3 linked regions of the Ovis aries genome follow. Each later gene encodes a partner of the first gene's protein in a complex. Links are inferred from orthologs where the notes say so. Each region holds a gene or a part of one and is shown in the gene's direction. Other genes may lie near its edges.

What was found.
Region 2: TIMM21 (region 1) and mitochondrial import inner membrane translocase subunit Tim23 share a complex: the UniProt entries of both Homo sapiens proteins name them as parts of the TIM23 complex. The link is inferred for Ovis aries from reciprocal best matches to the Homo sapiens genes TIMM21 and TIMM23.
Region 3: TIMM21 (region 1) and TIMM17B share a complex: the UniProt entries of both Homo sapiens proteins name them as parts of the TIM23 complex. The link is inferred for Ovis aries from reciprocal best matches to the Homo sapiens genes TIMM21 and TIMM17B.

Annotation. Positions count from the first base shown.
Region 1 is NC_056076.1:4,425,722-4,433,425, reverse strand, and holds the start of TIMM21 (mitochondrial import inner membrane translocase subunit Tim21), read left to right. Parts: upstream 1-3,468; 5' UTR 3,469-3,768; coding exon 3,769-4,069; intron 4,070-5,893; coding exon 5,894-5,956; intron 5,957-6,054; coding exon 6,055-6,152; intron 6,153-7,704. Other genes in the region: FBXO15 (F-box only protein 15), read right to left, coding at 2,661-2,788. UniProt on the Homo sapiens protein: Participates in the translocation of transit peptide-containing proteins across the mitochondrial inner membrane.
Region 2 is NC_056078.1:43,000,760-43,008,463, forward strand, and holds the end of mitochondrial import inner membrane translocase subunit Tim23, read left to right. Parts: intron 1-4,911; coding exon 4,912-5,027; 3' UTR 5,028-5,411; downstream 5,412-7,704. UniProt on the Homo sapiens protein: Essential component of the TIM23 complex, a complex that mediates the translocation of transit peptide-containing proteins across the mitochondrial inner membrane.
Region 3 is NC_056080.1:56,175,863-56,183,566, forward strand, and holds TIMM17B (mitochondrial import inner membrane translocase subunit Tim17-B), read left to right. Parts: upstream 1-2,831; 5' UTR 2,832-2,868; coding exon 2,869-2,894; intron 2,895-3,767; coding exon 3,768-3,867; intron 3,868-4,879; coding exon 4,880-4,943; intron 4,944-5,871; coding exon 5,872-6,000; intron 6,001-6,090; coding exon 6,091-6,201; intron 6,202-6,291; coding exon 6,292-6,380; 3' UTR 6,381-6,791; downstream 6,792-7,704. Other genes in the region: PQBP1 (polyglutamine-binding protein 1), read right to left, coding at 198-309, 2,049-2,115. UniProt on the Homo sapiens protein: Essential component of the TIM23 complex, a complex that mediates the translocation of transit peptide-containing proteins across the mitochondrial inner membrane.

The DNA of each region.
Region 1 (7,704 bases):
GTTTTTAAACAGAACTTGGAAGACTGGAGAACACAGTGTACTCTCCAATATTTCCCGTGTACTGAAAATGTAATGAGTTGTAAGGGAGGGTTGTTCTCATCTCAAAACTGAGAACCCCACACACAGGAAGATCTGGGAGCACAGCTATCACAGCAAAAAACATCCTTTCAGCTGGAGCCTTGGTTCTCAAAGGCCCCCAAGCATTCTGGGCTCCAGGTCCTCTGAGCACACCCTGCAGAAAGCTTAAAACTTCTTTAACATTTTTCCCCAAAATTGTTACATTAGTGTTCCAGGTCCAGAGGGAATCCCCTGCCCACTAGCTCATATCTGTTTGAAAGTACAGCCTATTTGTTCCTATTTTGTTTTCCATGATTAAACTAGATCTCCCTAGCCCTGCACTGCCAGAGCAGAAGACTGAGGCTCTAATGAGGTAATTAACAGTGACGCCTGTGTCACCATATATCTTATCGTTCTGGACTTTGGCACCATTGAGAGCATATCTGCATTTCTCCATAAAATAAACTAACTGCACATTCTTCAGAGCTACACAGTTCACCACCAGAAGCCCCATGCATGTCATGAAGCTCTGTATGGCTACAAAGTTAAGCAGTGCGTATTAAGCTTTATAACTAGTAAGATGACATTTAGTTTAAAACTGATTTTTTTTTCAAGTGACAAACTTTACCTGATTGCTTTGAATTAAGTTCAGTGTTTTAAAAACCTACTTTCTGGGCCTGATTCTTAATATCTGATAAATCAAAGAAATTAGACCAAGCAGAAACTAAGCCAACTTGCAGCTTTCTGTGATATTCTTACAGTTTAAGATATTTATACAAATTCATATTTTGTGTTAAAAAGATTTAAACATATTAAGCATTTTGTGTGATTCTTTGTTAAAATCTAATTTTTTCTGCCTCAAGACATTAAAAATAACCACCTACTTAGACTATAACCATTCTTAAGATCTGACTTTTCTTGACCAAAAAGAATTTATGTACCACCAAATCACAGACTGCCATGCACACTTCCATGCCAGGCATAATTACAGGCATTCTAATTACATCATTTCAACAAGAAGTTCACTCAACTTACAAAGTAATAGAAGATTCATCAGGTAACAATCATCCTGCTCCCACTAACAGAACCTTATATATAAAGACTAATTTTAGTAACAGTGGCAAATTGATTTAAAGTTCAATCTTCCTACTTTAAATTCCTGTCTTTCTCTCCTACATAATAGAAATTTTACAGGCATTATCACCATTTTGTCAGGAGGCTTGTGATATGTGGAGCGTTTACAGCTATTCTCAAGAACCAACTATCACTGTAATACCTAGGGAGGGGGGCCCTGCTTCTGAAACTAGCGTAAACGGGGTAATGGATCCTGGCAGGATGGACACGGGACACAGTCCTGGAGATTCAGGGGGAAAAAATATACCTTAAGTAGTTGAGCTGGTAAGTAGTAGTCTGTAGTGTTAGTCACTGCTTAGTAACAGAATCCTTTTCTATGCTTAAACACAGACATCTGGTTTATTAGAAGGCATAATATGGCAGACTTTCTATATCTATAAATCGAGATCTACAAGCAAAAAGAGAGTCTTCAAGAATCCAAACGGTCCTTCGCACTATTCCTCCACCTTGCAATCTAACTGGGAAGACCGGTGCAGAGCTAGGAACAGCTCAGCATGAAAGAAAGGGATGTAATAAGACATGAAGACAGCACTAGGGATACTTCCTCCGACATTCACTCTGTGAAGTGAGCCACTGTCCTTGGAGTTAAGCTGAAGTTCCTTTTGGAAAGCAGTTGCCACCTCCTGCGCCCTGCCCCTCCCCGACCTCACTCCTCCAATCTCCTTCTGTGACTGCAGAAGAGGACCACCCTTCAGCCGCCAGGCACCCCGAGAGAACTGGAGCGAAGACGAGACCCCTGTCACCAGAACAACACACATACACACACCCTCCTCCGCTTGGACAAGAAGACTACATAAGAGAATCCGGGAGCGAGCACCGAGGGGTGTCTGTCTATTAACAGAAGGCATCCCCCCAGGGTCTGCTGAGAAACGCAAACCTGGCCGTGATGGCGGAGGTGCAGCTCCCAGACCAACCTGCCTAAAAGCGTTACCTGGTTAGGGGGCTGAGTCCTCCATTCGTGAACTGGGTGCAGGAGAGAAAATTGATTATGTTTTGATAAGTAGAATCGACTTTTCTAAAGTCATAAAAAAGACAAAAACCCGGCCCCAGAATTAGGTAGGAAATAACTTCGGGAACATGCTTTGGAGGGGAGCCTTGCCGGCTACGCGGCGCGGGAGCGCGGAGATTCCCACCTGCCCGCGTAGGTGGGCGCGTCCACGCGGCGGCTCTCCGCGAGGGCTGCTCCAGGTCTAGGGGCTCGCACGCCCCCGTACCCCCAGGGCCCACTAACTGAGTGAACCGAGGAGACAGAATATTCCAGGGAAGCTCCTCGACTTGTACCGTGACTTGGGGTTACCCCACGCTTCCAAGCTTTAGACACTTCCTCTCTCCGTCCTTCCAGACCTTTCCCGCGCTAACAGGTCGGAATCAATGAAAAGAAAGAGAAAGGGAGGCGGGGGAGTGAGGGGCTACTCCTGTCGGGGCTCCCGGGCGCCCGCCCCAACGCCACCCCACCCCCGGAGAGTCACCTGAACCCTGCGCGCCCCGCGGCAGCCCCGGGGCTCCCGAAAGCTGAGCCAAAGCAGCCAAGAGGCGGGGGCCGCGCCAAGAGGCACTGCCATTGCAGCTGCAAGAGCCGGCCGCGTCCGATCGCCATGGATACCCAGCGCCGACGCTCCTCCTCCTGGCCGTCGCACCGCACCGGGACACGCCCCCTCGCTGGCGCGTGCGCAGAGGAGCTGGGGGGGCGGGGCCGAGGGCAACGCCGCCTGTCAGCCGGCTCCAGGGGACCTGGCGCCGGCGCCGATGCCGACGCCGACGCCGAGGACTCCTGGCGGCGGCGAGAGCGCAACGGGGATTCTGTGCTCCCACGCAGGCTCTGAGAGTGCTTCGCCCTCCCCACCTGCGGGCTCTGGGGTAGTCTTCGCTACTTCCTGCCCGACTTGTTTAAGAACACCAAACGAAAAGGCTACATTGTCTGCCCAGAGGCAACAGCAGGGCCACAGTCAGACCGAGAATTCCCCAGTTGGCACGGCCCCTTCTAGTGGGACACCGGGATAGGCGGTTTGTAACCGCGAACTTCATTTTTGCAAGTTCCTGAAGTACGCAGCGCCAGGGGCTCCCATCCCGCCGGCCACCAACAAAGCCCCGCCTTCCTGTCCCGCCGAGGCGCGCGGCGTCCGCGCAGGGGCGTGAGGGAGGCCCCGAGGCGTCCGCGCGCGCCCCGGCTGCCTTGCACTGTGGGAGATGTAGTCCTTGAGCGTCCCGCGCCGCGGCAGTTCCGGGAGGAGTGCCGCCCTCGAACTACCACTCCCAGGGCTCCTAGCGGTCTTCCAGGTCCCTTTGCGAGGGGCCTGCCGGGGATCAGGTGAATGTCAGCAGAGAAAGGAATCCAAGTACTTTAAGTCCAGTGAAAGGAGAGCCGAAGGGAAGGGAAACTGGGCGTCAGCTCCTTTCAGGAGACGTTCTGTCTTGATTGACGCAGTTGGAGCTAACGTTTTTGCCGAACACGCCCGTGCAGCGTCACCGGTGTGGACGCGAGCGCTCGAGCCCGCGCCCGGCCGGGTGTGTGGCAGGTCGCGAAGGTCTGCTCTTCACAGCTGGCGTCTTCCCTGAGCGGGGCGACCTTCCGGGAGCATGATCTGCACTCTCCTGAGAGCTGTGCGGTGCACGGAGAGGCTGCATGGGTGCCCCGGGAAGCCATGGTTTCTGCCGCACTCCGTGCCTCACAGAGCTTGCTCGCAGACTGAGCCCAGGTGGAGATGGGGGCTGCAAGAGCAGAACACGGCGGCGCGACCTAGGTATATTTGGGGAGTCAACCAGAGATCCATCTGGACGCAAGGACGGAGCCCCCAGAGCGCGAAGGAGGACGGCAGCAAGCAAGTGTCTGTGCACAGGAGTCAGGGCGGGGAAACTGTCCTCTCAACGTCACAGAAAGGTAAAGGGGATTCCGTGTAGCGATCAGTCTCAGCAAACGTGACGGGAGCTGCCGACGCCCTTTATATAAGTTCAGAACCGAGAATAAACGGTTCACGCAAATTAAAAGGTAGAACCGTTGAAGGCAGTTCAAAGCAGAGAAGATAGGCCTGCAATTTTCTTCCCAGATTTGAGAATTCACATTTGACGGTTGATTTTGATGCAACTTTGCTGAATTATGCCTGTAAGATTTTTCTCAACTTTTATTAGTTTGGTGTGGAGAGAGCCTATAAAACCGTTGTTTGATGTTTTGTAACAGACAAGTAGATTTCCCAGGTGTTACTTCACCTCATTTGAATCTCACCGTTTACTTTTTCAGACAGGCTCAGTAGTATGTATAAGGCTAATTTCCCCAGTTTTGCAAAACTAAAAATTGAATGTATTTCTAATCTCAGTTTCCTAATAGCCATGCCAGTACCTCTTAGGACAACCACACCTGTCTTTAGTTTCTAAGAATAGCGCTGTCTCTGACATTTGGCCCTTAGATGCAGTGCTGTTTTTTATTTATTATTTTGATCAGTGGCAGGCAGTTTTAGAGGCTTCCATTCGACTTTTCTGATTATGGTATGGTGGGCAATGCACCTCAAAGGACCTAGTTTAGGGACTATTGTTGCTGATGACTGAGTATAGCCGTTCCAGTTATACTTTGAAAATCAGGGAAATGACCGTATGGTAAGTCCACCCAGCTGTGACCCTCTTACATGCCAGGCTCTTTATTACATAGCCACCACAGGTACTCAACAGAGAGACCATAGAGACTCCTTAGGTTATTGATGTCAGCTTAGACTCTGTCCGGTGTACCTTGAAGTATCCCCTTTTCCAGCATGGGGTCACCAAGTTAATGGCTGAGGGGCTCTGGTGAAGGACCAGGGGAATCTTATGCTTGCGCAAGTGCCTCCTGATGGAGTTGGCCTTCCTTCGGTAAATGAATGCCAGGAGTGAAGAGCGGTTCAGGTCCAGAAACCGAGCTGTTCATTGTCACGACTGTTGCCACCTGGCTTCAGTGCTGGGCCATCCCCAGGGCTGTCAGAGCACCTGTGGGCAGTGTTTTCCAGGCCCCTCTCGGGACAGCCGGCCCTGGTGTCCGACACCCGCTTGAGTACACCCACAGTTCGTGTGGCAGTGCTGTCATTTTTACTTCACTTAATGTGGACCACGCTCGCTCCATCTTTGCCAGCACGAGCCGAGCTGTGCACCAGCTCTCAGGCTGCTTGTCACACTTCAGTGTTTGATCGGAGAGTGCTGATCAGTCAGCTCCCATTCGTCCCAGTCTGTATTTCGCGCCCCTTCCCGTCTCCCTTAGGATATAGCTGGCTCTGCTGGTGGGGCCTCCGGCTGCTTCAGGGCTGGGGTAGCCCATTTCTTCCTTCCTTCCAGTTACGTTGAACCCTGGCCAGAGCACGTGTCTTGCAAGGTGGAAGTCTCCACCAGGTCTGCGAGCAGGAGAAACAGCTAGCCTTTAACTGGGAGGCGTGAGCTGCCACTTCATGTGGGAGGGTTCAGAGGAAGTGGATCAAAGGATTTCCTAATCTTAGACAGTAAGGAGGCATTAAGATCAAGTACCTAAAGTACCAACTCCTCAGCCCTGCTCCCAGAGTTGGCTGTGGTTCTTTCCAAATAACTTTTCAAGTGATTCCAATGCGCAGATTTGACAGCAGCTGCTCCAGAACACACGCCGACCCCTCCCGTGTCCGAAACCCACATCTCAACTGCTGGAAATCCTGAAGCCAAGAGCATCCAGCTCATGTCCGGCACACGTGTAACCAGGGGTGTTTTCTCTTTACAGTGAAAGAAGCTGGAAGAGATTTTACCTACTTAATAGTGGTGCTTATTGGAATCACCATTACAGGTTGAAATCACAGCAAGTATAAACCTCCTGAATGTCTTTTTCTCTCTCCATTTGTCTCGTTCTTGTTTTGCTAGATCTCCTTTTTCTGTGATTTTCAGGTGGCTTGTTTTACACGATCTTCAGAGAACTTTTTTCTTCATCTAGTCCGAATAAGATATATGGGAAAGCCCTAGAAAAGTGCAGATCGCATCCTGAGGTTAGTCTTTAAGGCTGTTATTCCAACTCCGATAATAGGGAGGAAAAAACGTTGGGGTGACCGGGGGAGTGGTGGGCAGAAGTCACATAGTGGTTCCGAGACTGGTGAAATTTATGTAATAAATTGGAATGGTTGGGTTGTGATTATGTTATTAGCTCCTTGTTCGCTACTTGAAATGCTTTGATTTATGGGCAGCACCCAGAGGTCCATACAGGGACATTTCAATTCTAATTGTAAAAGCTTAGACTATACCAGCATGTTAAACTCATGCACTAAGTGTCCAGTCTTTTTAAAAACCTGATCCATGACCTCATGATCATAGTGGGAATTGTTGGAGCTTACTGAGAGCATAGTGTGCACCACACACACTGCCCAAGGTCTGAGTGCTCATTCGCACGAGAACCACTCATGCCGGGCGCGGTCTCTATCCCGCATGCAGAAGAACACTGACATTTAAAGAGAGTAAATTAACAAAGCTAAGATGACCAAGCCAGTAAGAGGGAGAAAGTGAATGTGTTAGTCTCTCAGTCATGTCTGACTCCTTGTGACCCCATGGACTGTACCCTGCCAGGCTCCTCTGTCCATGGGATTCTCCAGGCAAGAATCCTAGAGGGGGTTGCCATGCCCTCCTCCGGGGGATCTTCCCGACTCAGGGATCAAGCCCCGGGTCTCCCACATTTGTAGGCAGATTCTTTACCTTCTGAGCCACGAGGGAAGCCTCGTAAGAGGGAGAGCCAGAACCTAGTCCAAGTTTGTCTGATTCCAGATCTTATGTCTTAAGCACAGCCTGCCTGAACCAGGAGTAGGCAGGCGCAGAAAAGCTACATTGATTTTTTTTTTGAAGGATCCCATCGAGAAGGAAGTTTTCCATAGGGCTTTCCAGTCACAGAGAGAAAGCCAGTGTAGCCTGTGAAGGCCCAGATTTCTTACTCCCTGAGTGCAAAGCTTCAGCATTGAAAAATCTAATTCGTTGAAAGCTTAATTCTTGTACTTTGAAAGAATATGGCATATAGCATCATAAATCGCATGGCTGTTTCTCATGTAGACCAAGGAGTAATAGCAAAGAGACAGTCCCTGGGGAGGGCGGGAAGGTTTCGAACCCGCAGACGCTGTCAGCCTAGGTCCTGTCAGCATCCATGCCCTGCCCTGGGTTTCCCTGGGCACCGCCTCCACATGCTCCATCAGTGTCTAGTCTCGGCAGGACGGAAGCCTCGGGAGCTAACGGTCTCTGACATCTTTCTTTCTTACTGAACTTGGGCGATCTGAGAGCCGTAGGGGAGATGCCACTCTGAGTGAAACTCAGCAGGGAATAAGGAAGTTCCCACTGTAGTTATTGGAGAAGGAAATGGCAACCCACTCCAGTGTTCTTGCCTGGAGAATCCCAGGGACAGCAGAGCCTGGTGGGCTGCCGTCTATGGGGTCGCACAGAGTTGGACACAACTGAAGCGACTTAGCAGCAGCAGCACTGTAGTTACTGGGAAACCTAATTCTACCTGACAAGATACGCTTTACACACTATGATGATAAATATGACCAGTCGCGTAGTTAAATG
Region 2 (7,704 bases), on another chromosome or scaffold:
TCTACTTTCTATGAATCTGATTCCTTAAGGGACCTCATGGAAGTGGAGTCTTGTAGTGTTTTTCTTTTAGTGACTGGCTTATTTCATTCAGTATAACCTCACGGTGCAGCATGCATCAGAATTTCCTTCCTTTTTAAGGCTGAATAGTGCGCCATCGTCCGTGCACACACATACACCACATTCCATTCACTCATCTGTCGGTGGGCTCTCGGGTTGCTTCTGCCGTTGGCTGCCGTGCATGATGTTGTTATGAACATGGTGGAGTAAATCCTAAGAGTTGAATCAAAATTACCTGGATGAAGATCAAATATCAAATTGTCCTCTAAGATGGAAAAGAAATGAACATTTGCTGAGTTATGGTTATATTCTCAGTAGTAACCACTTAATGTATAACTTGTTAAACTCTGTGAAGTGATCATCACAATACCCCAGTTTTATAGATGAGCACATTAAAGACGTTCTTTTTCAAAAGATCATAAAACTAGTGACAGCCCCAGATTTTTCTCACATTTGTTTTAAATTGCCTAAATTTATGCCATAATTGCCTGTTTATGTTTTGTACTCAGGCCTCTGAACAGTACTTCTGATTGTTTTATTATGCTTCAGACACTTCAGTAATTTTTGTTCTTAGGTAATTCCTCCATCACAAACATCAAGTAGCATTTTTTGCCTCACTTTTACTAGAAATGAGAGTGAAGTCTCTCTTACAGGATTATAAAATCTAAAATTTCATGGTATGTCTGAGAGCGAGAGGCTTTTTTAATACTGAAAATGGTAACATTTGGAATTGTATCCCTAAGAGCTCACAAGACTTCTTGCAGCACGTGCCTGTTCTGATACACATCAGCAGAGCTCCTAGGCATAATAAGATAGGAAAGATCTCCTAGGCACAATAAGACAGGAAATATCTTTTGTATACACGAAAATGTTGGCATAGAAAAACCTTGTTAAAAACCTAAAAATACTTTCACACTGAAAATCTCTGGGGTCAGACAAAGGAGTTTAAAACCTTAATTGGCACCACAGGGGTGGCACTCAGCCAGCAAGTGTTTAATCGGCCCAAACTGTGTTTATGAAAGATCAAAGTAAAATTTAAGGAACAGGAGATTCCACACAAAAATCTGGAGATTTTAGCTTCTTTTGCAAAAATGGAAGACACACGGCTCACGTTGTGTACGGTAGCAGATGGCAGGAGCTGCTCTGGGGGAGCTGCTGCCCCAGGGGATGGACACGGGAGCTCCAGCTCAGTCCTCACCCGTCCCCGCTTTCTTACTCAGCGTCAGCCATTACAGCATTTCCTGTGTTGGGGGCAGCCTTAAGTATAAGAATGGACTGAATTACCACCTCGTTTAAGACACATTACACATATTTTAAAGACACAAAGGGGAAGGCTGAATACTTGGGATTATCACAGGAGAAAAATGAGAACCTAGTTTTCTGTGTCCAGGACTTCTTGCAGGAATAGCATCTTCCCAGCCTGGGACATCTCCAGCATAAATTATGGAAAAGAATGCTCATGGCTCAGAAGAGAAAAAGCAAAAAAGAATATTCATTAGTGCTTTGTCAGGTGACAAGTGGGTTTCCGTTTTTCAGATTTCAGTTTCCACCACAATTGTGGAACACAGAAGAGGTGAATGACCTGCTGACCCAGAATTCCAACACTGGTTCCTAGTTCCCAGCTGATTAGTTTAATTCAGCACATCAAAATTTCGGACGGAGGCAAAGCAGTGTCTTTTACTGATTTCTGGTTTAGACGCCACTTAAAGCACAGAATTTCATGTGGCAGGAATTTATTAAAAAACTCCCATATTCAAGGATTTGGAAAACAGTTTGGGTGCTCCTTCAGTCTAGAGTCAGCCTAAACCACGAAGGAAAGGAGACGGATGCTGGTAGCCCAGTGTCAGTGTACGTGACGCCACTGACGTGTACACTCACCAGTGGCAAATATTTTGTTATGTGTATTTTATCACAATTTTAAAAAGAATTTTTTAAAACCAATTTAAGTTAAATAGTGCAGAAATTTGTTGAATTTGTAAGCTGTTTCAGTGTGTAGGTAAGGCCGTTCCCCTAAAACAGGGCAACAGGCTCCTTCTGGCCAGATGCCTGTCTCTTCACAGTTTGCAGACTAAGAATGTATTTTACATTTTAAAATTGTGGACATTTTACGTGGTTATATGTATCTACAGTATGTAGGATCGAAACATCGAGAACTAGCAGGATACACATTCTTTAGAGACATGCGGGTAAAGAGTGGGTTTACTTTCCATCTGTTTCAAAAAAAATTGTGCTGACCCCTGTGCTGAAGTGATTGTCAGTTCAGTGTGTTAGCTCTGCCAGTAATCAGCTCTATACCAAATAAACTAGGCACTTAAATATTCCGGGCCTCATTTTCCCGGGTTTAGAAGAGATGACATTTGCCCTTTTTGGAAGAATTGTATAAGGATCCAAAAGATAGACAATAAAACAGAAGCCTCCTGTTTGTTTTGCTTTATAGAGGTTAACCATTGGCCTCATTTGGTTCACTGTGTTCAGAGCAAGTGTATTTGCTAATCAACTTCCTGTACTTAGTTGGGCAAAGGTGGTTTTGTTACAGAAAGCCTAAAGCCAAGGCTGTTAAATTCTTTAACAGATCAACCAGATGGAAAACCCTGACATTATTGTGAAGAGTTAAAACTAAAACATAATAAAAGGCTTCCCTGGTGGCTCAGCTGGTAGATAATCCACCTGCAGCATGACCTAGGCTCAATCCCTGGGTTGGGAAGATCCCCTGGAGAAGGGAAAGGCTACCCACTCCAGTATTCTGGTCTGGAGAATTGCATGGACTACTGTGTAGTCCATGGGGTTGCAAAGAGTTGGACATGACTGAGCAACTTTCACTGAGTCAGGATTACTGTGATTATTAGTAAATCATACACTACATGTTTGGTGTCTTCTTGCTAGAAACAGTTGCTCAGTCATGCTAGAAACAATTTTTTCTTAGCCTTCAGAGAAGGCTGGTATAAAAGGGTTATGTTTTGTACTAAGGTTGTTTCATTTTGGTATGAAAGGAGAAGGCATTCTAGGGGATAAACTGTTAAGAGACACTTGATATGCCACTGACGCCCCAGAGTTCTTAAACCTTCAGAGCTTCCGGTTTACGCTGGAGCCTTCTGGTTGTGTAACCTGCTTAAAGAACATCCGTCACACTCAGAAAACTTCACTCTCGTATCTGAACCATAGTGATGCTGTCTTAGAAGGCATTTATTTTTCCTGGGCTTCACTGCTTATTTTTCCATTTCTAGAAATTTGGTCTGGAGTTCACTGTCAGCCCATTTTCCAGCCACACTGAATAGTTGCAAATGCAGCTGATGCCTAATCTGAAGTCTGGCAAGACAGAGAGATGAGATAGACTTGAAGGAAATATCTCCCATTTACTGTGATTAATTTTGTGTATCATCCCCCTTCCTACATATTTGACGGCTGTTTATAGATGATGCCTGCAGTTTCTATTTGGGTTTGTTTAAGAGAGATAATCGGGGTACCTCAGAGTTGAAGCCTAAGCCAGTCAGCTATCTAAAGTCTTCAGGCTAGAGAGGCTCCTAGAGGGAGTAACCCTTTAATCTATCATCTGAAGCCATCTGGCAGGACGTGCGTTGCAGAAATGGTTGGTGTGAAGTGTTCTAACTCACCAGCGTCACGGAATTTCATGGAGTTTACTGGAATGTAGCTAAAGGGTTTCTAATAGGGTACACCTTAAACACTGGACCTGCTTTCCTAACACATGACTTGCGACAGATACTCCATAGATACCATACAGACTACCTGAAGTGTTATCCCTACTTATTTGTGAAACTGTTAAGAGAACATCAAGTATTTCTTAAAAGCTGCTTTGGGTACCCCTATTCCTTTTACTAGACTTGGTGACTATTTTCGGGTAACTGGTTGAAACATTGTTTCTGCATTTCAAATGAAATACCTATTCCATAATCTTTTTCCACGTGAAAAAATCCTTTTGTTAAGCAAAAATAGCTCAAAGTCTAATCCTAATCCTGGAATGTTTTTCAACTAGTATGATGATGCTTGGAGCTTCCCAGGTGGCTCAGTGGTGAAGAACCTGCCTGCCAAGCAGGAGACACAGGTTTGATCTGTGGGTCAGGAAGATCCCCTGGAGAAGGAAACGGCAACCCACTCCAGTATTCAACCCACTCCAGTATTCTTGCCTGGAGAACTCCAGGGGCAGAGGAGCCTGGCGGGCTGCAGTCCTTGTGGTCGCAAGAGTCAGACACGACTGAGTGACTAAATGATGCTAAGTTACGTCTCTGCTCATTAGTTGGAGGTTTTCTGAAACATCAGAATAGGGATAGGTAATGGGAGAGTCGGTGCTTCATCAGCACCCAACTCAGACCTTGATTACAGCCATCTTATCTCACACCACTGTCTTGAGTCTTCAAAATTAATATTTAGAGGACCTGTGCAGAGTCCAAAGCCTGTTAATACCGTCTCCAAAGAGGGTATCGCCTTGTTTACATACCACCTTAAATCAATTGGCAGTGCCAGTGAAGTTCTGAAAGTTAGGACTAGCAGGGAATTACTGATCTGCCTGGGATTTCAATAAGAAGCATAAGGTCTTGTCCAAAAATGTCCTAGGATCAAGTCCGATTGAGAAAAGTCAAAACACCATGCTGATAACTGTGAGATTAAAAGTGAAAAAAAGGCTGTTACTATGGATACATCGTTTACATATTAAGCAGGTGACTTAGGGGGAATCTGTGTCTACTGAATTTCAGTCTTGGTTTATTATTTTTAGAGATTACTCTCCTGTTTGGGATGGAATCTTCATAAATCTGAAGAGTGTGTCCCAGCTTTGCAAACCTCTTAGGTTGCCCTCTGATGGGACAGTGTGTAATGACTCTCTCCCTTTTCCTCTCCCAGGCGGCCTTCGAGGGGCAGCACGAGGCGGTCTAGCAGGACTAACGCTCACGAGCCTCTACGCTCTGTACAATAACTGGGAGCACATGAAGGGCTCTGTGCTTCAGCAGTCACTCTGAAGATTCTGCTAGTTTACAAACGGAGGACACTTAGTAGTCACCCTGATCAGTTTATAAGTCAGTCTGGAGGCATTTACTCTTCTACAACTAATTTGAAAAACTAGAGATTCCAGTTTGCTGTGATGAAGAACATGGATGGTTGACCAGGACTGGCACTCCTTCCAGCCATTACTGAGTTGAAGACAGAACACCCCTTGGCGGCTGAGTGATGTTCTCTTAAGAAGACCTTGCACCTGTTTTTGCTCCTACCCACTTCTGGAAAACCACTTAATCCCAGAATGCAGGCCTGCTTGTCAATCCTGTACCAGCCACATTTGTTCACTTAATGATCCAAGACTGTAATGTTGCTCTGCATTCCCAATAAAGGGTGAAAATAGAACTGAAGTCCTAACTCCAGCATTAACATAGTGGGTGTCTCTCCAGAGCTGCTCTTGACTTATCTCTGCTCCCATAGGCCAAAGCATGTTTTCATGTTTGTGATGAAGTGAAGGGCTACTAGCAGCATTAGCAAGTAGGTTAAATTTTTTTCTCCAACAGAGCTGACACTAAACAGCCTCAAGATATCTCAGGTTAACTATTATACCGTCACTGTACTGTGCTAAAACAATCCTAACTCAATCTCACTGGAGACGATGAGAGAGATGGCATAGACAGAGCTGGAAGTTTCTAAGGGAGCCCTGGGAACGCAGCAGAAAGGGGGGACAAGTTATGTGATTTCTGAGTTTGTTTTCTCATTATGAAATGAAATTAACCAAATAATGCACTCTAGGTCACACACATACGTAATAAACAACTGCTGGCTATTATGATTACAGAGAAGGTGAAGTAGAGCCTTTCTGAACACATCTAGCTAGCAGGAATTTGGCAGAAAACCAGAAGACAACAGCAGATAGTAATAACATACCTGTTTGCTAATTCAGGAGTGATAAAACAGCATTTTAAGTGAATATAAGAACTTTTTATGTTCAAGTGTTTCTCAGCTGTGCTTGTAACCAAAGGATACCACATTCATATAATTTTGTGACAAGATGTTTTACAAACACACAGGACAATTATATGGGTGTTACGCTTTTAATGAATGGAGGCAGATACAAAATGCATCAATGCAAAAGAATGGTTTAGATACTCAGCATAGTGATTAATGTTAATTTAGGGAGACACAGCCTGTTAAACCTCAACTACAGTTTCCTGCAACCTAAGATAATGGAGAAGCTGCTTAAGTTTTTACCCACCACCTTTAAAGTTCTAAATGGTATCTGGAAGAACTAAAAAGTAACAGGCTCCTTTCAGCTGTGGTTAAGAACTCTCGTGAAGCTGTATGGCAGTGACACTGGGGACTGTGATGTTTCCCCAAAGGGGCTTTCCAGATGACCACATCACAGACTTTACAGGTATTTCTAATAGGCAAGTTGAGTGGCTTGATAGTTTAAAAGTGGAAAGCAGCTAAGATGTCTCATTTTAGAGAATTTTAAAACATGGTATAAATACCACCTCTCCTACAGAGAAACTTTTTAAAGCACGGACATAACTTTAAGGATACTAAGGAAACATTGATAGTTTTCATAAAGCTTCAATAAACACCCCAAGGCACAAGTGTTCAAAACTTCCTATTCACTAAAATGTCACTGCATTACACTTTTATTAGAGGTATAGGTATGCTATGCTTGCAGTGAGCGGACGTTTAATTTATGCCTAGTTAAAAGCACCAGGTGTCAAGTTCAGCTTCCATTTACACAGGATGCACCAATAACACTTAGGATAGTGAACAGTTCAAGTACATTTCCAACATAGTTTGCTTTTTGATTAGTCAGCACTGGGGCTCTGCTGCCTGTAGTTCTTCAGAATATTTTGGAAGAGACGAGAACTACTCTGAACATAGTCTTCAAGCAGTATGGAGCCCTTCCGAAAGAGAAGTTCTTTCACAATAACATTTAGAGAAGGAAATACAGACAGATCTTGCAAAATCTGAATGTCTTTCCAAAGAAGAAATGTAGAATCTGGCACCTAAGCTAAAATGTTTTGTAATAAATGTCAAAAATTGCCAAGACTTTCAATATGTGTTTTGGTAAGAAAAAACCACTATATTGGCAAGGTTAATGATGTAAAATGCAATAGAATATTAATTAAATAGAAAATTCACCATTAATGGAAGAAAACCCAGGATAAGGGAAGCATCCAAAGACTGCCAATTGAAAGGTAATTTTACTAGCTTTAGAATACATCAACACACTTTGATTATAGAACTATTTCATTTTCAAAACTACAGTGTTTTAATGTACTTCTAATAACCACCCAATCTAAGGAGCCATGGAGGCTTATGAGAAAGACCTACCCACCAAGATGCATTTCTAGCATAGGGGTGAATTAATACTTCTGTAAGAAAGAACCTGAATCACCTCAGCATCAACAAATCACCTTTTTCTTTTCCACAGTAATTCATAATTTGATGACTAATTTCTCTTCACTAGTTCGAGACTGGGGAGGAAAGGAACTACATCAGACCCAGAGACAATGATTTCGCAAGCCACAGTCACTCAGCTCATGGATTTGTGATAATCTGCAGAAAATTTGATTGACTAGTACTCGATTCCTTCACATCTGTAAAAAAAAGTCCACATAAAAAGTCACTTCACTGTAAGATTAAAAGCAAATGTCTTCCCACTTTAAAGCTCTCATT
Region 3 (7,704 bases), on another chromosome or scaffold:
GGCATCACTGACTCGATGGACATCAGTTTGAGTGAACTCTGGGAGTTGGTGATGGACAGGGAGGCCTGGTGTGCTGTGATTCATGGGGTCACAAAGAGTCGGACATGACTGAGTGACTGAACTGAACTGAACCCTTCACAGGAAGGGTGAAGTCAGAAGTTAGCTCTCCCTCCCCACCCGCATGTCGTCAGGCTCACCAGGAAGGGTCAAACACCTTGTACCAGCTTGGTGGCAGGCCCTCCAACCGGGTAGCCTCATAGTCCACAGGATCGTCATCATAGTCCTCAGCAATGATCTCTTCCTCTGGTTCTGGCAGGACAAGGAAGGGAAGAGGACAGCAGTAAGAACCAGGGAGATTCCCATCCTGCAATCAGGGCCTGGAGAGACACACTCACATTCACGTGGACTGTGTGTGTGTGTGTGCATGCCAGGTCTCACATGCCAGAGCAAATACTGCTCATGTTCCAAATCCAAGTATCTGAATATCAGGATTTACCAAAAAAATTTACTCAAATCTGTTTACGGGTACTACTACCCAAACTTATCTGGTTTCATACTTTAGACAGGGATACATTTTTTTTAAAAAGTATCCATATTTATTCAGCTTCTGAGTTCAAATAGTATGTGACACTGTATTATGCAAATTTGAATAAAATGAGTTTCAACAGCAAGGGGTTTACCTAAAAATATGTCCAAATCTATTCAGCTTCCACGGCTGGCAAATATGGGGTTTCTGACTCCTATATATTGACTAGCAAGTTTGGACAGCAAGGGATTTATCCAAACACTTCTCTGAATCTGTTCAGTTCCTGATGCCTGCAATAGTTGTCAGTTACTATCAACAGAATAAAGAAAGGTGTATGAGTACTTGGACCTCAGTAGTCCTATCACAGATTTCACCCATGGATATAGTTAACAATTAAATGTATATGTCAGCAACAGCATAGTGCCTGTCACACAATAGGCCCCAAATAGATGTCAGCTACAATCATTAATATTGTTAGTAAGATACATACAGTTAGTACAGGGCCTGGTAGCAAACAGCCTTAAAATAAATACCATATCAGTATCATTATCAATATTATTAATAACCAAAGATCTTTGGCATACAACAGGCTTGTAATAGGTGTCACTTATCAATAAAGTGAAAATAAGATGAGTTTTCTAGTACCTGGCACACCTTAGCCCAAAATAGATGCCAGCTTTTACTATTATTGATAAATAAGGTATAAATACTAGCAACAGCAGCACAGTAGGCCTAAATGATAGATCCTATCATTACTTTATATACTGTTAACCACAGTGTATGATAAGCACTTAAGAAGACTCAAAATACATGTCAGCTATTGACATGGTGAACAATAAGGTATGGACAACTCACACAGTGCCTAGTTCCACAGCAGGTCTGAAATAATGTTATCTACTAGTATGTTACAGAACAAAGTATCAGCACCCTGCGACTATACTTGGCCGACAGGAGGCTGCCATAGGTGTCAGCTTACTATTACTATCCTTATTATACTTCCAGGAATTAACTGATGGGTTAAACTTTGGCTACAGAAGACCCCAAAATACACATCAACTGTCAGTGTTAAGGACGAAATGTCTATTCCATACCCCACCTCCCCTCCTCCTCATAGGACAGGAATAGGGGTCAGTAACACGTATTGTTGGGAATCCCTGGTAGCTCAGAGGTTAAAGCATCTGCCCGCAATGCGGGAGACCCGGGTTCGATCCCTGGGTAGGGAAGATTCCCCTGGAGAAGGAAATGGCAACCCACTCCCGTCCAAGTATTCTTGCCTGGAGAATTCCATGGACGGAGGAGCCTCGTAGGCTACAGTCCACGGGGTCGCAAAGAGTCGGACACGACCGAGCGACTTCACTTTCACTTTCTTTCACTTTCAACACGTATTGTTAACAAGGAAATGCCTGCCACCCCACTGCTTGGTGCACAATAGGCCCATGCTAGATATCAAGCGGCAGTATCCGCAACAAAGTGCCTGTCAAGTCGGGCACATGGTAGGCCTCTCTTCTCTTAGTTCTCTCACCAGGCTCCAAATGTTTGAGGATGCCTCTCTTGGCCAAGCGGGTCTGCAACGCAACAGGCAGCGGCATAGCGGATGGCAGACAGGCCTACGGAAGGACAGACAGCCTGAAAAACAGCTCAGATGAGGACTGAATCTGGTTACAAGAGTAACCAAGGGCCTCCCCGCAGCATGTACTCAATCTGGACCCCCATCTACACTAGGAGGGAAATAGACCCTACCCGCTGAAAGGTGGAAGGGGTTGTAAACAGCAATATCACCAACACTCTCACCAACTCCGCTCTCCCAGGCCAGTGGCTGCAGCACCGGGTTCCCGTCCTAGGCCCAGGCTCCGCCCAGCCCAAGGGGCCATGCGCGGCTCCCCCACTACCCAAAATGGTTTCACCCAACGTCCCCCAAAGACTGCTGGGTGGGAGGAACCAAAGCGTTGGGATGGGGGAGCACAGTGTAACACCTCCTCCAGCTCCAAAAAATGCACCCACCCCAAATTACCAATACAGTCACGCAAGTAGTGGACGACTTTCCAACTGGCCACCTCTCTCTCGTCGTCTCTATGAGCGCCAGGACCACACGACTCTCTTCTCCCAAAGCACAGAATGAGTTTCTCTCTCCCCGAGCTTAGACGTAACTGCACGACGCTCACGCAGTGAAAAGATGACGCAAACCTACCTAGCCAATGAGAATGCGCTTTGATCTGAAGTCTGGCGAAACAACAGAACCGTTGCCCTGGGATAGGTGGAAAGCTCGGGCGCTTGTATACGTTTCCAGTGGAGGTGTGGCCCGGCCAGGGTTTAGCGATACTGCGCGGCCGGACGCCGGCGCCATGGAGGAGTATGCTCGGGAACCTTGGTACAGCGAGGGGCATAGGTGTCGGGACTGTTGCTGCGGCGCCACGGCCAGCGGTGGGAGGCGGGTGGGGGAGGCACGGGCCACACAGCGCCACGTCCCAGACTCGGAACACATTTAGATTTTTGTTGTCTTCTGCTCCTCTCCACTTGGTTTCTCTTACTCGGGCTCCGTTAAAAGGGGCCACAATTGTGTGCCTGCAGAAGAAGGTTTGGTGCAGGACGGACCACTCCACGTTTTCCTTGATTCCGTACCTCCCAGCCCCTCTGTTAAAGACACGCTGGTCGAATCCATTCCAGCCAGGGGGTGGTGCGGTGTTGAGCGGGTATCCCCTGGAAAAACGCATGGTTTTTCCCAGGTCGCTTTGGTTAATGCTGGCGGGGCCTGGATGAGCCTGACCATGATTGTGGTCATGGAGGGGTGATGGGTCCTCCGCACTCTATGTGCTTGATTTTCCCCAGTTGTGCGAGGGTGAAAAGGGAAGAGGACGTGGCTTTGTTGGACGTGCTCATTATCGGAAAAAGGGGTGCTACCCCATTCTGCTTAAGGAACAGTGCCTGCAACACCTGTAGCGTAATTCAAACGTGCCAATTCTTTAATTAATGCCCTCTCATTAATTCATTTAATCTTTGACAGTAGTCAACCAGTTGGTTGATTCCCTGGTTGGCTGTGAAGGGGAGGGGCGGACAGGGCCAAGACTGATGTTTTCCCCTCTTCACATTATTTTTTGCTTAAATGAGGGGAGAAATAATCCCAGTATTATCTGAAGTGCTAGTTCTCATTTGGGTGACGTATTGCTCCCAGTTGGAAAGAGATCTTGTGACTTGGCATGAGGGAGCGCTCACATTAACCTCATCCTCCCCTTCCCGCTTGCAGCCCATGGCGAATTGTGGATGATTGCGGTGGAGCCTTCACTATGGGTGTTATCGGCGGTGGAGTCTTCCAGGCCATTAAGGGCTTCCGTAATGCCCCTGTCGTGAGTCCTAGCCTTCCCTGGGTGCTGCTGAGGTCCTGCCCTGACCACATGGGATACTGTTCTGAAACTGCTTGGAACTGCCAGTCACGTGCACTTATTCATTCTGGTGTCTGCTTACCTACTGTGTGGCAGGCCTAGCTCCAGGATCTGGGAGTTTGGGGGAACTGCAAACATGACCTCTGACCCTCACCCTGCTGGAGCTCCTCAGAAATGCTGTGCTGTCAAAAGGGTCATAAAACCAAAACCTAATTGTGTGCAAAGTCAGTCAGATTTTACCTAGAGTCAGATTCTGGGTGGGAAGCCTGGGAAAAGGGAAGTGACAGGAGTTTAACTGGCAGGAGGAGGACAGCCTTAAAGTTGAGCACATGCTTTTAATGTAACATAATCAATTCTCTCTCTCTGACAACACTCCCCTTTTCCCTTCTTGGGAGATCTCATCGAATGTCATGACTTTAAATGCTATCCACTTGCCAAGGTCTCTGCAATTTCTCTAGCCCTGTACTTCCTCCCAAATCCTGGCACTCTCTTTCCTGAATCTTTGTCCAGGTTTCTCCCTCTCATCCTCAAGGTCTCAGAACAAATGCCCCCTTCCTTTAAGAGGCCTTTCCTGACCTCTCAGCCACTGTCATAGCTCTTTATCTCATTTCCTCTAGGGTCCTGATTGCTGCCTGAAGCTATCTTGTTTATCTGAATCCTTATTCAGGATCTGTCTCTCCCACTATAATGTGAGCTCTGAGAGGGTAGGGGCCAGGTCTACCTTGTTCACTGCTGTATCCCTGCATATACCATGGTGCTTGGCACATCAGTGCTAAGTACTGAATGAATGAATAACTTCCTATCCTAGCTTTGAGAGCACTTGTAGTGGGCCCTAGTTCTTGGCCACTTCTCCACATCTGTACCCTTGAGGCCCCTAACAGGTTTCCTCCCTCCATTCCTCTCTTAAAAACTAGAAACCTTATCTGCCAGTGACCTGAACCCTGCTCTGACTCCCTTCCTCCTCACTTTCCCTCAGGGAATGCGGCACCGATTGAGAGGCAGTGTCAATGCTGTAAGGATCAGAGCCCCTCAGATTGGAGGTGAGAGGTTTGGGGAGACACGTATGATAACAGAGTTGGGAATGCTTGCTCCTTGGAGTCTAGACTGCAAGTTGAGGGTCCAGATTCTAGCCCCAACTCTGCCTGGGGCTTCCCGGGGGGAGTGTTATTTCTCGGCAGTTTCATACGGGTGAGTTGTGGAGTTTAAATCCAGGCCCTGGCTCTTCCCTGATGTCTGTGTGACCTTGGGCTAGTGGCTGAACCTCTCTGAACCTCACCTGTAACATGGGAATGATAAAAGCAGTAACCACCTCAATCAGTTTTGTCGTTTATGTAACTTACATAGTACTTACTAAGTGCTGGTTGCTTGCTAAGCACTTTGATAATATTAACTAATAAAAATTTTCAGAAGTCAGTAACATGAAGTGTGTAGATCAGGTCTTGGCACATGGTAAGACTTCTGTAAATAACTATCATTGTTAACTGGCTCTCCTCACCCATTTCCTTCTCTCCTAAACCCAGGTCAGATTCCAATTCTATGTGGTAGTTACGAAGGTCAGAGTTGCTCTGTTAAAAGCCGTATAGACAGAAGTTCCCTGGTGGCCTAGTGGTTAGGATTCTGAGCTTTCATTGCTGTGACCTGGGTTCAGTCCCAGGTTGGGGAACTGAGATCTTGAAAGTCCAATGACAGGGCCAAAAAAAAAAAAAAGCCACATTGAAGCAGACAAGTCTGCTTGTAACCACGTATCCGCTCCCTATGAAGGTGAAGGGAGTGCTGATGGGGATTATAAAGAGCTTGAAGGAGCTACCACAGGGGCAGGTGGACATTGTCTTCTAGGAGTTTGCCATGTGCCTTTATGTCTGGTTATTCTCCCCATTCTTTGCCACAGTATTCAGGCCCTGGGAGTCCCTGAGCCATGGTTTCTCAGGACTACCCGCAGGCACTGATTAGGCTTTGGTTTCCCCACAGGTAGCTTCGCTGTGTGGGGGGGCCTATTTTCCACCATCGACTGCGGTCTGGTGCGGCTTCGGGGCAAGGAAGATCCCTGGAATTCCATCACCAGTGGAGCACTGACTGGGGCTGTGCTGGCTGCCCGCAGTGAGTGCCCCAACCCCAGGCCCCAGCCCCTTCCACCCTGCTCTTCCTGTTCTCACCGCTCTCCACCTCCCTGTCCCCTCCTTTCTCCAGGTGGCCCATTGGCCATGGTGGGCTCGGCAATGATGGGGGGCATCCTGTTGGCCCTCATCGAGGGTGTTGGCATCCTTCTCACTCGCTATACTGCCCAGCAGTTCCGCAATGGTGAGTAACCAGTGAAGCTGGTCATGGAGAGGTGGGAAATGCTCTGTCTTGTCTCCTCCACTCACGTTTACCTGTTTATCTCCTTTCTAGCACCCCCATTCCTGGAGGACCCTGGCCAGCTGCCCTCTAAGGAGGGAACCCCAGGCCCAGGCTACCCCAGCTATCAGCAGTACCACTGAGGAAGTGACCACCTGTCACCGCCACTGTGGGAGCTCCTCCTCGGTCCCCTCCCCGATGATCTACCTCGAAGGGAGGGCTGGCTCCCAGTTGGCCCATGGGACCCTCGAGAGGGCCTCTATCTGTTCCTTTATCCCAGGTTGGGGGTGGGGCACCCCAGCTGCCCTGATGGATGGGTCCCTTTTCTCTCAGGGCACCCCAACCCCCATTCACATGCTCTCATCCCAGTCCCTTTGCATGGCACTCTGATGAGTATTTAAAGCCAGTTTTGAAAATGCCTGTGTATGTACTCCTTGAGCCACCCATAGGAGCCGCTCCCTGGGACAGGGTAGAGCCCTCTTCAGGGATGTGGGAACCATCGCATTTGGAGTCACACAGAGAGTCGTCTCTAATAAAGGTTTGTGGATGAGTGAGTAGGAGGGGGTCTATGAATCAAGATGGGAATAGTACATGAATAAAGATGTGTGGGGGCCAAGTGGTGAATCACAAGCAGACAGAAGAGGAATGGGCTTAGAAAAGGAGTGACCACAGATTGCTGGGGTGGAGGTGGTGGTTCAGCATGTGGCACCTCTGAGCCCTCTTCCCTACGTCCTCATTGCCAAGGCTGAGAAATCTGACCTCACAATGAACAGTCTGCCTAGATAGCAGTCCCCACATTTGTGAAGATAATTCCCCCCTCCATGTGGCTTCATCAGGGACCTGGGATGGAAGTAGGGATCCAGGAGACCCAGCTTCCTTCAAGAAGGTACCTTTAGTTTCCTCTGCACCACAGCCATATTTGTGCTCTGCAATGCTCAGTGTTGTCAGTATTTAAGAGTACCACAGAATAACCAGAAAATGAGTTTTCATTTGGGGGTGGGGTGGGGATTATGGGAAAGAGAACTTCCTGGATAGACATTGGCCCCAAACACTGTCTCTTGTGGGCAAACACCTACATGTGTGGGGCAGACGCCTCCAGTGGGGTGCAGATGGCCTCATGGGAGACACACAAACTGTCCCTTGCAGAGAGGTGGAAATGCTCTCTCTCTCATACAAAGTCACTCCCTGGGGGTGCAAATGCTGAGTTCTCAGGCCTCCCAAGGCCTCAACGAGGACCTAGTGATCCTTGATGGTGGTAGAACTGCAGTACTCCGTGACGGAATCAGTGCCAGGTATGGGCAGCTGGCCCAGTGCCTATAGCTCTCAATGTCACAGCAGGGCTCTAGCCTTGAATTTAGAGACTCCACCACCACGCCACCAGCAGCAACACACCTGCCAGTGCAGGACCTGGTCTCCAGCCAGACCCAGGGTATCTCGGTTTGCAGCCCTTGTGTTTATAGACCACTT